Neodiprion lecontei: one gene and its partner. The main gene of each other region encodes a partner of the protein of the gene in region 2 in a complex. Links are inferred from orthologs where the notes say so. Each region holds a gene or a part of one and is shown on either strand. Other genes may lie near its edges.

The links.
Region 1: protein CWC15 homolog (region 2) and beta-catenin-like protein 1 share a complex: the UniProt entries of both Homo sapiens proteins name them as parts of the PRP19-CDC5L splicing complex. The link is inferred for Neodiprion lecontei from reciprocal best matches to the Homo sapiens genes CWC15 and CTNNBL1.

The regions. Positions count from the first base shown.
Region 1 is NC_060261.1:30,286,475-30,295,139, reverse strand, and holds beta-catenin-like protein 1, read left to right. Parts: upstream 1-3,582; 5' UTR 3,583-3,818; coding exon 3,819-3,848; intron 3,849-4,149; coding exon 4,150-4,529; intron 4,530-4,602; coding exon 4,603-4,934; intron 4,935-5,085; coding exon 5,086-5,309; intron 5,310-5,396; coding exon 5,397-5,579; intron 5,580-5,665; coding exon 5,666-5,813; intron 5,814-5,899; coding exon 5,900-6,066; intron 6,067-6,246; coding exon 6,247-6,430; exon of another isoform or gene 6,431-6,539; coding exon 6,540-6,628; 3' UTR 6,629-6,942; downstream 6,943-8,665. Other genes in the region: eukaryotic translation initiation factor 2A, read right to left, coding at 49-199, 282-370, 764-939, 1,028-1,127, 1,338-1,601, 1,847-1,874. UniProt on the Homo sapiens protein: Component of the PRP19-CDC5L complex that forms an integral part of the spliceosome and is required for activating pre-mRNA splicing.
Region 2 is NC_060261.1:30,138,345-30,144,450, reverse strand, and holds protein CWC15 homolog, read right to left. Parts: upstream 3,637-6,106; 5' UTR 3,414-3,636; coding exon 3,283-3,413; intron 3,165-3,282; coding exon 2,861-3,164; intron 2,776-2,860; coding exon 2,533-2,775; 3' UTR 2,463-2,532; downstream 1-2,462. UniProt on the Homo sapiens protein: Involved in pre-mRNA splicing as component of the spliceosome. Component of the PRP19-CDC5L complex that forms an integral part of the spliceosome and is required for activating pre-mRNA splicing.

The sequences.
Region 1 (8,665 bases), about 150 kb from region 2:
CAGGAATCTAGTCATTTGGACTTGAAATTCGATAAAAGTGTTGCTTACCAAGCATTACCATTGCAGTTTGACCTTTGGTATCAAGGTAATGCAATGTTTGTTTCCCGTAGTATGACGCACCTGTTTTGTCTACCTCTGTGCTCGTCATCAATAGTGCACTAGTTCCTCGTTTGTTCCAATATATATCCACTCTATCAGACTGTAACACAGTAAAATGCAATTCACATGTAAGTAAATATTTACATTGTAGAAATGTCTACCTTGCAGGCACTGATATTTACCTGAAAAAAACTTTTATTAGCCAAAGACTGTGATGCTTCAAATTTAGGATATTGAAATAGTCTGCCAAAAGAGGGCTGGCCAGATGATCCTGCAAATATATGCATAAAATTACCAAAATTATTGCAGAGAAATTCGGACAATGGTTGGAAAATATCATGAATTTACGGTGAACAAGGAAGATCAAGTACACATATGTCAAGATGAGGACAGATTTTAGATGAATGAACACAGTACAGCGCATGCTATGAACTGTTGCCAATCTATTGAAAAAAATCATATCTAATCTCTTGTATGACATCTGTTATGCCGTTGATGAGCTATGGGCATGACTCCTTTTTTCCAAACATTATGTCCACAGCGGTTTGTGGTGTGCACTGTGCTACATTCATTTATATAAAATCTATGCATGGGTTGAAGCATGTGCACTCAACCTTCCCTGTGTACCATAAACTCAGAGTATATGGAAATATAACTTATTTACCTGGCATGTTGCAAAGGATATGATAGGGGGGATTGCCTGTCGCTACACTAAATTTTGCAACCTTAGCCATGTTTATCCTATTCACAACCTTAGAAAAATCGGCATCTTCATAGAAGTTGACAGTGCTATTAACCAGCATACCACATATCCTTTCATCACTGGACCACTGAAGCTCCCTGGCATTATTTACAGCAATGAATTATCATCAAATCTTGAAATGTGTGGCAAACCAATTTGAAATTGTATGTATCTTCCCACCCTTACCAGTCCATTTGTTTCTTATGAATAAAATCCTTGACCAGCTCTCCATTTTCAGATTTCCATATACAGAGGTTTGGACAGCCCTGGGGATTAGCCTGCGATACTGAAACATAGATTTTGTGGTAGAGCAAAAGGGCCTTAAGCATTTGCTATAACATATCAGTGGAATATCAAGTTTGCACATTAATTTGATCGAATCATATTTTCAAAGTATTTTAATCATTAATCATTAGAATTGCCGAATTTATGTCAATTTCTGAATAATCAATATCCTATACGCATGGAAATGAGAATTATGAAATATACAACGTACTTATAAATGGTTCCCAAGTTGCTAGGTAGGTTCCCTTGGGTGAAAAATCTATGGCAGAGATCTTAGGCCGTTTAATTTCAGCAACTATTTGCCAATTTTCGGTAGCAGCTATCTTCAACGATACTCCATTTGTCCAGACGTAGTATCTTCCCTCAGGGCTAAAAGCCATGAGTTTACAAGATCTACTGGCATCGCGGGGGAAACCACTGACTGGCTCATAGGTTGGTGGACCCTGGCCCAGACTCGTTCCTGTCGAACCTCGCACTGTAGATAAATACGTTTAACCATATAAATATTATGTATATATTAATTCATGACTCAGTGACTTCAATCTTTCCACCTTCTGCATTGCACGGTGAAATCTCTCGAGCAGTACGCTCGTGAACATGTTCTGCAGATATAGCCTTCGTACGTGTTACGCAGGATTATCTGGGGAAGCGTGAGCTGAAAACACTAACGAAACCACGGAAAACGCCGGCGAGAATTATCGTAAAAATTAACTGACTTACCAGCGATACAAGGAACGGTCGTGGCCATTTTGTAACTTATATTTCTGCCCCTTGCAGAATCCGAGTTAATCCGACATTTTCAGATATGAATTTGTGCTTGCAGAGGGTTCCTAAATTTTTGTAGATCTTTCTTCTTCCTATCCAATTTGATAAACAAGGATGCCACGATTACGTGCATTCATGTACGTACGATACACAATTCGTAGCTACACAAATACTGTTGTACTCTACCGGGCTTGAATTATAACTGGAAATGCGATCGCAGCGATCGCAGCGGACAAGACTAGATACGTGTGCGTTTATACTAGCTGCTAGTGGCAGCTTCGCTCACATACTGGCATGTATGCAACGGTAGTGTGGTCAGGAGTGAGATATATTTATATTTATGTTTATATATATATATATATATCCGTATAATATAATGTTTTTGTCGTTGTACATTTGGTTAGGCGAAACGTATGGAAGATGAAACAACCATACCGAATATATATGTATTTTTCTCTCTCTCTCTCTCTCTCTCTCATCACTACGGCTTTAGTTTTCGCAGTTTTCGCGAGGTTGACAGAATGAGTAACTGCCTCCAGTAGTATACGCTCTAAAGTTTATATAGATTTGAGATAGCATAGCCATATATCTTTATACATAAGCCATTTTATACAACATGCGCTTACCGGCCAAATACGTCACGAATCAGTTCTAAACCTCTATTTCGTGTCAAAGAGCGGTACTAAACCACGAACACGAAAACACGAGCGTGTAGGCTCGCTCTGGCTTCCCTCTAGTTACGGATTTCTATGTCATAGAGTGAGACCATACAGAGCGGGTGACTTTGGAAGGTATATTGAGGGAATCCACTGGTGTTCGGTGGGAACTCCCACGACTATAAGAGAGCTAGTCAAGTGTTAATATAAAGTGAAAGAGATCATGAGCATTCTCAGTTCTGATTTTGATACTTACAGATACGTGAAGATAATTGTTACGTTGTGCTGTCTGGTACAGAAGAAAAGTGTTATTTAATTAAAAAGCATTGATGTATTAACATTTGAAATCTGGTAGAACTCTTCAATATTGAGCTAGATCACGAGACTGGACAGCTTAGAGCCCCCATAAACACGGTCCAACATCAACGTGCTGTACTGTACGCGTAGGTACTCAATGATGCAGTGAGCTATACCATCCTAAGCACTGCTGAGTATTTTATCAACCGTAATAATTAATTTCACAGAAGCAAATGAAGATATCAATATTTGCCATCGTAGCCGTAACAATGATCCTTATTTCGGCTGAGGTAATTAATGTTGAAGCTGGACTGGTGGGTGTTGGACTTTGCTACGCCGGCTGCGCGACGCTCGCCGTCGCATGCTTTAGTGCAGCTGGTGCCATATTCGGCGTCGCAAAAATTGCCCAGATCAATGCATCACCAGCCCTAGGAAAATGCAATTCGGCATTCAGTTCTTGCGAATCTGCCTGTGTTGGAGCATTTGGTTGATCTAGACGTGTCATCTAGATGTATCGTAGTCCGAAGGTCGTTGCTGACCAAATCATGAATGAAAGCTGCAATAAAAACTCGTAAAATATCTCACTGTTGAATGTATTTCACCGTTGTTTGCCGCCTTATCGATATTCACTTTTCACGCTCGATACCATTCACCACTTGCCGTCCTGTTCCGTTCCAAGTTCCATTTGTCCCGTTGTAACCTAACCTGATTCAACCCAATTCAACCTAGCTGATAATAATGTATGCCTATGCATAAGTATGTATACACATGGTAATACGGAGAGTACCAATATAGACTCATTGTCAGTCACTGAAGAACATAGTCTTTAATCAACACATCAGGATTTATGTACTAGGGTTATACACAATTACCATGTATGGCTTTATTCTGTTATTGGTTAATTATCACGTTTACTTATTAACATAAAATTAAGTAGCTGTGATTTAAAAATATCGAGACAAACAGTTTTCGATATGGATATCGGTGAACTATTATCATACAAGGTAATTATTCAAGTATTTTTAAAGGTTACCAAAGTTAGGTGATGTTTAGTTTTCAATCTGAACAGTAAAGTTTCTTACGCTTATTGTATTACTTTCGTTACTATACTTAAGCTACTTATTAACGATATTCACACTACAAGTGTGTGTCAGTAACATAACCTGCCAATCTCTGAGACACTGGTGGTTATCGTCGTTAGATAAGGGTGCGCTCACTGCATTACTGTCATTAGCTGATAAACCTGCAAGTTATGATGATTTCTGTTGGAGTAGGTTGGGTTTTATGTAAGGAATTAACTTTTAGCCACCCAATACACCGAAACGACCAGTACATGGAGATGAAGAAGATGAGGATAACTGGGAAAATGCTAAACGATCAAAGCGTGTGATTAAAACGCCATATCATCCTCGTCAGCGACAGATTAATGAGGGTGATCTCACTCCAGCTGTTAGCAAAGAACCTCCTACACCAATCAGAGCTGCACTTCCAGCTCCAGCCAATGATGTTGTCGAACCTCAGTTGACAGAAAAAGAAAAACAAGAGATTATCAAGTATGTAGAGACGGAAGCAGCAGAGGTTGAAGCTTTAGATGAAGCCACGCTAAAGCGAATGATTCTGTTGTTTGAAAAACGAGCTCTTCGGAATCAAGAGATGCGGGTGAAATTTCCAGATCAACCAGAAAAGTGAGTTAGCATTTACCCAATTATTTGTGAAAACAAACTACCAAATGTCATTTTACCATTCTGTCTTTTCTAGGTTCATGGAATCTGAGTTGGAGCTACATGAAACATTGCAAGAACTAAATGTAGTAGCAACAGCCCCAGATCTCTACCCGATAATGGTAGAACTTGGTGCTGTGGCTTCCATGCTAGAGCTTCTGTCTCATGAAAATACAGACATTGCTGTTGGGGTGGCTGATCTGCTGCAAGAGCTTACAGATGTTGATATTTTGCATGAAAGCCAGGAGGGTGCAGATATCCTTATAGATTCGTTGCTGGAACAGCAAGTATGTGCCCTTTTAGTGCAAAATTTAGAAAGGCTTGATGAGAGTGTAAAGGAAGAAAGCGACGGAGTTCACAATACTTTGGGTAATATTCAATAAGACAGCAAGATGATTATTACAATATGGACGTATAAAGTTGATCTAAGTTCAATTAGGACATGAAATTATTAGGGATATTTATTTTTGATCTTAGTTGTCACCTTTACCTAAAGGGTTATTCCTTAATTTTTTTCAAGCCATATTCGAAAATCTGCTCGAGTTCAGACCAGACCTCTGCGTAGATGCAGGTAAACAAGGACTCCTCCAGTGGCTACTACGAAGAATCAAGGTGAAGGCTCCATTTGATGGAAATAAGCTATATGCCAGTGAACTGCTGTCCATACTTGTTCAACAAACACCTGAGAATAGGTTGCTGCTTGGGGATTTGGATGGAATAGATGCTCTTTTACAACAACTCGCTGTAAGGGTTTTGCTGTTTTCTAACTATATTGGAATTAATCTCGATGAAAGAATAACAGATGCAAACCCGTTCACTGTAATCCTTTAGTTCTACAAGCGTCACGATCCTCGAACAGCGGAAGAACAAGAAATGATGGAGAATCTTTTCAATGTTTTGTGCTCCAGTCTAATGGCAACGATAAATCGAGAACGCTTCCTCCGTGGCGAAGGACTCCAGCTCATGAATCTAATGTTACGTGAGAAGAAAATGTCTCGTAATGGATCTCTAAAGGTACCACGTATATTGAGAAATTTATGGAAAGTTGTCACAGCCATTGACGCAGATTTCCGGTTTCTAGACAGGGGTTTATATTACAGGTACTGGACCACGCTATGAATGGGCCAGATGGAAAGGACAATTGCATGAAATTCGTAGATATACTGGGATTAAGAACAATTTTTCCATTGTTCATGAAAACACCAACTAAGAATCGAAAGAAAATACTCACAACGGAAGAGCATGAAGGTAGTTACATCATTTTTATTTACTACTGTTCCCCTCCTGCTGAACTCACCATTCTGTCTTGTTCCCACCACCATGTATTTATTCAGAGCACGTCGTTTCCATTATCGCAAGTATGCTGAGGAATTGTAAAGGAGCACAGAGACAGCGTCTGATAAGCAAATTCACAGAAAACGATTTTGAAAAAGTCGACAGACTGATGGAGCTTCATTTTAAATACCTAGAAAAAGTAGAGGAGGTCGAAAGAGATACAAAGGCAAGTCGTAACTATAACTAGCTATTGTTCACTTTTGTAATAATCTATAAATTAATATCAAAACTGACATTACTTACCTTGATTATACTAATTTTTAATCACTACAAATTTGTGTATGTGTGGGATTTAATCAGTGGATATTTTCTATTCCTGATATTATTTAAAATTTCTAATTTACAGGATGACGAAGAAGAGGAAGAATCTTACATGAGGAGACTGGACGGAGGATTATTCATTCTCCAGTTAGTAGATTACGTTTTATTGGAAGCCTGTACTGGCTGTCCACCAACAGTGAAACAACGTGTAACGAGAATTCTCGCACAAAGACGAGCATCTCTCAAAACCATAAGGCACATTATGAGAGGTAGAATAGACAGCTCATATTGTGAATTCGCACTCCCAATACCCTTTTCTCTCTTTCTACAATATGAAGGAGACAACATAGAAATCGTTTCTTTTCTTAATTTCTACAGAATATGCGGGTAATCTTGGTGATGCTGGTGACAATGAGTGGAGAGAGGCGGAACAGCAACATATTTTGCAATTGATCGACAAGTTCTGATGTCTACCTGCCTCGCGATTTTCACCCTTTACATTCATCAGAGGATTCTCACACATTACCCAATCGTGTTCACACGTAATTAGAGATGTAGAAAAATCCACTGTACATCGGCTAAAATCGAAAAATTTACAGATTATTGCAATCACGTAGTATTAATCACATTTGCATTTAATTTACATCGTTAATAAGAATGAATTGTCAGTAAACGTGATGCGCTGTTTTTGTAGGTAGTTTTGTTGCGATTCTATCAGTGTAACTCCTACTGACCAGCTTATCTTGCATCTCAATGCCAATAAAATCGAAGTGAGTCATAATATGTCTACATACATAATCTTGCCATATATTATTCTTATAATTTTTACGTCATTTTCTGTTCCCTACAGTTCGTTACTTCATCATTAATCAGGATTAAAGAATGGTATGTATAACATACTTACATTTACAGCTTTGGTAGTTCTGTATTTTTCTCGAATAAGCCACAAAAATTGAAAAGAAGCGTCGCTTCATCAGTTGACAGTCATCTGTACTATGAGTTGTAGTCAACATTTGTTGTAATGCCTTTCTGCTTTGTTCTTCACTGTTGCTGCAACTTATATTTTTTAACATTTTGAATCATTATTTGTGAGAGGATGGATTTGGTTCGATGATGAAAGAATGACAAGGCTTCTATACAATTTAATTATAATTGTCTTCAGACGGTCTGCAATTTGCTACTGCAAATCTACCGAGTGAAAAAAAAGTCGAAAATTTTCGTTAATCATATCAGACCATTTTTTAAAGTTTTAAACGAATATGATTTTATTTACATTTGAGCGGAGTACACAGTAGGTGCTATGCAATCACAACAATAATATTATCATTGTAAGATGATAAAAAATAAACAATTATGTATTACAATCTAATATGGATGAGTCGCGTCTTGTATTTTCCCTGATACGCTAAAATGTAAAGTCTCGTGCTCTGCAAACCTAATGGCGTAATGAGATAATGAAAATATGATTAAAAAAAAAATTAAAAAACATGTTTTATGTACAATGTGAGAATTCGACGTAAAGTCAGTCACGCCTTTTTTGCGCGCCGTCAGTTCCGTCGCTTTTCAGGATCAGTCCAGTTCGTTGACTCGATATAACGAACATCCGTCGCAGATTTATCTAACAATAAGCATTGGATCACAGCTAATCTACATGAAAATCTTACCTCTAATGATAATTAATATGTCGCTAATGCTAAATAGGTCACTCGTTAATGACTCGATAAGACATGCCTTAGACGAACGAGTTTCCTAAATACATCGCGTGTGAGGAGACGCGGCAGAATGATTCCAAGGCGTTAAACTGTATCGAAATACATGAGTCAAGCTCATTAAACTCTCTTTTCACTGTATGTTTTACGCTAATCTGTTGCCGCATCTCATCGCATTTTTTTCAATAAGAATATCCTTTGCAATAACGTGGGTGATGAATTGAAAACTGTGGGAATAAATAAATAGCGATATCACGAACGATTGCGTGTGATGTTAGTGGAAGACAATAACGGTGTCGGACTGCAATGCAATTTTAGCCCTTATTTAACACTGAAAGTAATGGGGACTCAATAAATCACCAGGCCTGGATATGCCTCTGATTGTACGTAGCATTAAAAGTATCGAAATAAAATACACGAGATAACACGGATGATGGCAAGTTGCTTTGATTGTTTACGCTTCACGCGTTATTTTTCTTATTTATACTTTGTTTCATCACTCACCAGCCTTAGAGTGATGGTTATGGGAGGGTTTCACAAAGGAAGGTAGAATTTTTTGAATGTCAAGTACATGTCAATTCAATAAACATAACAACGTCCCCACTACGCCCATGTTCATCTACTTGTAAGAATATTGAATGAACGGTAACCGGGTGGATAATAAACAGGTACTGGCCGTGGTGAAAAAATTTCCAAAAATCTCATATTAAGGGAAGTTTTTTCAAAACAGTACCACCAAATTCACCAACAAATGAGCTAGCAGCAAAGAAACGATAGTTGAAACCTATTTCCGGC
Region 2 (6,106 bases):
AAATTTGAACGGTTTCTATCTGGGTTTCTGTTTACTGTTTCATTATGAATAACGTTTAGCGCAAATCAGAGCAATTAGAGCTAAAAAGAGAGCTTTAAGATTATTTTGAACATGTTTCTGGTTGCATATTTACGCGTGTTTTGTTGTTGATGTTGTTGTTGTTGTTGTTATTGGTGTAGGACCGTTTCTCGAAGAGCAGGACGGAGAGCGAAAGATAGAGAGAGTAATGTTTGGGTGAAAGTATTTATTGCGGTACGGGATATGCCGGGGTTCGATCAAAAATTCAAGACATCGTGCAGAATGGCACAAAAACGGCGGTTATAATTGAAGCCATCAAATGGCACTGATCAGTTATAAAGCTGACAACTTCTTCGAATTCCATCTCGTAACTTGTTTATACCAGAAGTACAGTAGCGTATGCCGTAATAGCGGAAATGTAGTGAAATATAATATTCTTTTCATGAAGAACGCATACAAATGCAATTTTTCAAATATTTGATGCTGAATTGGGACAATATATAGATAATTGATGTTTATTCAGTCTCTTATGAATCATCGTGTAAAAATTGATATGTATTTTTTACCAGAACGGTAGATCTAAAGAAGGCTGCTACCACCGATCGTTGAATGAAGAACATTTTTACTGACGGGGACAACTAATTAGACTGATGTAGCCAAAGTGTGTGTATGTGAAAAAAGCGGACTCGATAAAATACATAAGTAACGTTTCATTATTAATTATGAAATGATTTATTGAGTCATCATTTAAATCGTTGGAAAACTTGCTATGGGGTCTAAAACCGTGATTGCTTTGGATTACTGAACCGTTCTAATGATCGCCGGAAGCGGCAAATTGAATGTAAATCGCGAAAATATTGATTTGAACGATATTACGAGAAACGCGGGCTGTACTAGCTGTCGTCGGTGTTCAAACACCGTGATAACATTGTAAAAAACAATAATTGTACGGCCCTGTCGAGTCGACACCGACGTGGATGCTAGGTAATACGGGATGAGAAGATTCTCCTGCCGAAGAGGAGGCTCGCGGAGGAGAGAGAGAAAGAGCGAGAGGAGAGGGGCAGGAGGATGAGAACGGAGAAAAGAGAGGCGCGGAGAGGCAGGTAGGGAGGCACGAGGTAAAGCAGGGAGCACCGTCTGTTCACGTGTAAGAAATAACTAATAAGATAAACAAGTATGTACGTATATACATACGTACCTACGCACTTATACACGTAAGTATGCACGAGAGCTGGAGAAAAGCCCGCGGGCAAATTCCCGACTACGAGTATTACATACGTATGGAATTCCATGTCGCGTATATGCATGCGTGTATTCGGCATATTTGAACGAACGTTTCGTACATATGCGAGAAATCGACGTAACTGCTCTGCAAGGTGCTGCACGTTCGCCTTGCCTTGGGGTGATCGTTATTAAATCTTGATTAACGATACTCGGAGTCACCGATTTTCCTCAGCGGCAGCGCGCCTGCTTGCGCGCAAAAACGGTGCCGCAAAGTCTGCGCCAACCAACAATTCCCAACTCGCATGTCTCTTGTAATAAATTTCTCGCTCTTCGAACGGCCGCACCAGACTGCTTGCCTCTGCCGCAGCCCGACAACGGCGACGATGCACGTATAGTACGTACGTACACGTAACACCATACCAATGGTCATAACTCGGACCGGTTATACTTGACCCATGCGTTTGCTGGACCAACTCCTACCGAAATCAAGTCTTGACTCTCGTTCACGGCGATCTAGGCCCTCCTTTACCGCATTCTTATCTCCGTGATTAATATTGGTTTTCTTATTGTAGCTGATGGGAAGCAAAGAATTCTTGTCCCATACCTCTTACTCGTATGTCTTCGTTGTCTTCCATTAGAGATATCCTATCATCGTTCGAACAAATTCCAGGAAATATAACATTCGGCGTAGATAAAAATCAGTGAAACATTTCAACATTTTCCATAATTTCCGCGCTTTTCTTTTATTCATCTAGTTACATTGCATAAACTTCTTTACATACTATAAAAGAAAATGGTAAATAAATGGGCTGGTCACAATGCCAGATGACAAAAATTTCGGAATAGTTTCACAAAAAATCCAAGATATTTTTTTACTAAAAACAAGAAGAAACTTAAATTATTCGATTAGAACACTGTTTATCGTTTTCACTTTTTGTAAGTAGAAAATGTGTTTGGGTCAAGAAATATTTTCATACAAACACAACTTGGTTTACCTATATGTATAGTTTAATGAAAATAGTTTTTTTTTGCAATCGCAAACATTGTACAAGTTATACAATGAATCAACTTTAACACACTCCAGCTTCTTAATTTATAGTTGGAGAAGAACAAAGAATATGGCGATAGTTAACGAAAGTTTATACCACTTACGCTAGTTTTATTCAAAATGAAATTGATTCGAATTATCGGATTGTAATTTGTCAAGTGCATATGATAACTGTAGTCTAGTTTGTTTATTACACAATACGAGATTGTCATCAATTCAAATTCTTCAGCTAGACACAACGTTCATTTCACATACTTTTCCATAAACTTTCGATGGAATTCACTTCTTAACGAGTCATTTATGAACACATCCCGCTTTTTCTCAGGTTCTGAGCGTGCACAATTCTTGAAAACCACATCATCGTCCCACCTCCTTCTCACTTTCATGTCTGTACGGCCAGGCTGAGCTGAATAATTGAGAAGTGGGTTACCGGAAAGGATGTTTTCCATGCGTATCCGCTCCTCCTCTTGTCTCTTTTCTATTTCCTGGTAAAAAAAAAAATGACAATTTATAAATCAACAAATCAGTGATCGCAGGGAGAGAGAATTTATCTCTATCCAGGTGCGTTACTTTTTTGGCTTGATCGGCGGCACGTTCTTTCTTTATGCGCTGAAGTTCAGCAAGTAATGCGACTGTGTCATCCTCATCGCTGTCAGAATCGGAATCGTCTTCGTCCAATGGATCGTCGGCATCCAAACTAGCTGCTGGTACTTGATCGATTTTCTGTCTTTTTGCTGCGACAGCTGAACCATCACGATTTGCAGGTTCAATCATGCGACGGTTCGACGCCTTCTCTTTTTCCCGCTCACGTTCATCCAACTCTTTGCGGAAATCACGGCTTCTCAACTCATCTGTTGTTCCCTGTCCGTACTCTCTGGGAAGACAATTTTTAGGTTATGTGAACTTTCTGGTTATGACGCGATATATTGAAAAAGCACACGAGGACAGAGATAAGACACGCGAAAATGGTATCTCTGCACTTGTACTGTTACCTGTATTTCAATTTCGTGTGAGACGGCAGATCTCTGCTCGAGTATTGTTTAGAAATTGCGCTCAAATCCTTCTCTCCGCGTCCCTGACCTCCGCGCGCTGGCTCGAACGTCGGCCTCGCAGCTGTAGTCATTTTGAAACCAGAGTATAACGAGCCTGCGAATCCCTCGGGACGATGATAAAAACTACCTTAAAACACTACTCAGATTCTAGTTTACACTTGGCTATTTTTTCGCATACGCTATTGACGTATGTACTTGCTGTGACGGGAGCAGTAAATTTTGGTTTGGATTTTGTGCCATGAACTATGGAAAACGACTAATGTAACACAGAGGCGGCAGTCAACAACCACCGTCTCCGCTACCTGCACTCGTGTGAAGTTGGCGCTGGTCAATTTGTCAGATATTACCATGGAGCATATACTACTGGAGATAGCTTCGCGTGTACAGAAAGTGTGGCGAAGGAGTGAGATAGAGCAGTTATGCCGTGTACAGCCTGTCTCTCTCGCTCTGCAACCTGGTAGGCCGATACGTGTCCTCTTGACCGAAATTCGAATTTTAAATTTATTTCTAGGTGACTGGTTGGACGGATCCCGAAAAATTTTTTATATCCGAACTCAGTAAATGGCGCATGTTCAGAAAATATGAACATTTATTTTGAGTCACGGACGCAAAATCGCTTGCTTTTATAAAAATTTCGTCCTCGCTATCGGACAGTTCGTCGTATTTCCTTCAGAAATCATGCAAAAAATTTCTCAGAACATCACGGGGCTGGATTTTGGAGGGGGGTGGCCACCTTATCGTGGTCACCGAAAATACTTAGTAGTAGTCTTTTTCTTACTCCCTTTACAGTAAGTTTAATTGTGAATTTATCATACCTATGTTGACCGTGTCTTCAACTACTTGGTTTTACAAGTATCTCTGGTGTGTATGTGCATGTATATACGCAAACATATCTATAAGATATGTGATCAATGAACCAATGAATCGATAAAGAATATATCCCATGGTGAAATCATTGATAATGCATTTATTTAATTTTTATCGATAGACGGAAAAGGAAAGTGTTTTTGTTCATCCGGTGGACACAGATCGTATCTCGATTGTTTCTTCGTAAAATAAATGAATAAACAATCTTGTTCAGTAACGTTCACTGACAACTTACAGTGGTAACGTTCCGATACACGGATATACACCTCACCTATGCATTCACACGTTTATCTCGTCCGTACGGGAATGTGAATATAAACCATATGACACCGTTGTGACTGCTTGTAAACAAATGTCGTGACAAGGCAAGCAAAGGTGAAAAAATCAAACAATTTGGATGTCACGTATCAAGTTGAGCGTACGCTATTGGCTAAAAGTTCTCGATTCAAACATTAAAATCCCGTGCCCGTTCAACACGAAACCGCAGCCAGTTGAGTACGAGTGATCAAGAGAAGCGGTGTTGGGTGTACTACGTGCCTTATAACTGTGATTTTAGGTGATTTCTAAGTGTTATAACTTTACCGGACTGTGGCTCGAATTACCCGGAACAATAGAGATGTCTAAACATGACAAAAACAACTTTACTCCCAATGTGATCTACGATGAAAATATGTACGGGAAGGAGCTACATAAAGGGTCGTTTCTTTGGGAAGGTGAGTCTCGATGAATATTAATCAACGTTTCTCTCTGCTCTCATATCTCTTGCATCCTTTGCAAGACGAAAAATAATTTAATCATCGATCGCCGACTTCGAAGGCGAAGTAAAAAATGGGTAGATCCTAAAGCCATTTTAAGTTATTGGGGATCAGTGGATTGAAGACGAATTGATCAACCCAGGTTTCGAACAACCACTCTTGGCTGTTATTTGACATAATATTGACAGAAATTCTCATTAATTCTTTCGAACATTATTGCGGGATAACCGATTTATCGTCATTTTTTTTCTAAACTGATCATTCTTTCGTATTACACGTCAATCTCAATCTTGTGTTCATGCTTTCTTTATTCCATACAGCTAATTACACTATGTTTTGTACGTACCGTCAATAGTCCTGATTCGGCGTTCAGCAATGTCAAATTTTCGAACGCAGTTGAGAGGTCATATATCACCATAAAGTTTGTTGTTGATTTTCTGATGTGCCCAGAATATGCGCTCTAAGAAATTGATGTTATTGCCGGCGGATTAAGCCCCGCAAAAGGTGACTTATCATACAGCTCTCAGTCCAGCGCCGCGCTTTTACACGGATGTGTGTGCGTGTGTGTGTGTGTGTGTGTGTGAAGACGGCATTCACATAAATTTTGTTTTTTTTTCGGAAAATCAAAAAATGTGGTATCTATAATAAACTTGAGAATGGTTCTCTTTGCGCATGTGTCATGGCTTCGCTGTCACGAGCGTAACAGAAATTGGTGTGAAAATGAAAATGCTAAATGTTTGTATACGCGTAATTATTTTTTTTTCGATTTTGAAACAAATCAAGTCTTCAAATGTTAAGACTCATTTCGATGAACCAATATTGCGACAAATATTCTTCTACTAATCTAATATTACCGAAAAATATTACTCGCTAATAAAATAACGGCCTTATAGGGGGGATAAACAGGGTAGAAATGCATTTTACGAATATCTGAGTGATATTTTATGGATAACTAGGTACGTATACGAAAATGCATGTATTACCTAATATTTCACAAAAATATTAGATTTTTCGTTTAAATAACTAATTAATTGAGTAAAATAAAACATTGCTTGTAATATACTGCTTTATAAAAACGAGCCTTCTGAAATTGATTTTATAAAATCGTTGTTCAATTTACATCACTTTGAAAAACTTTCACG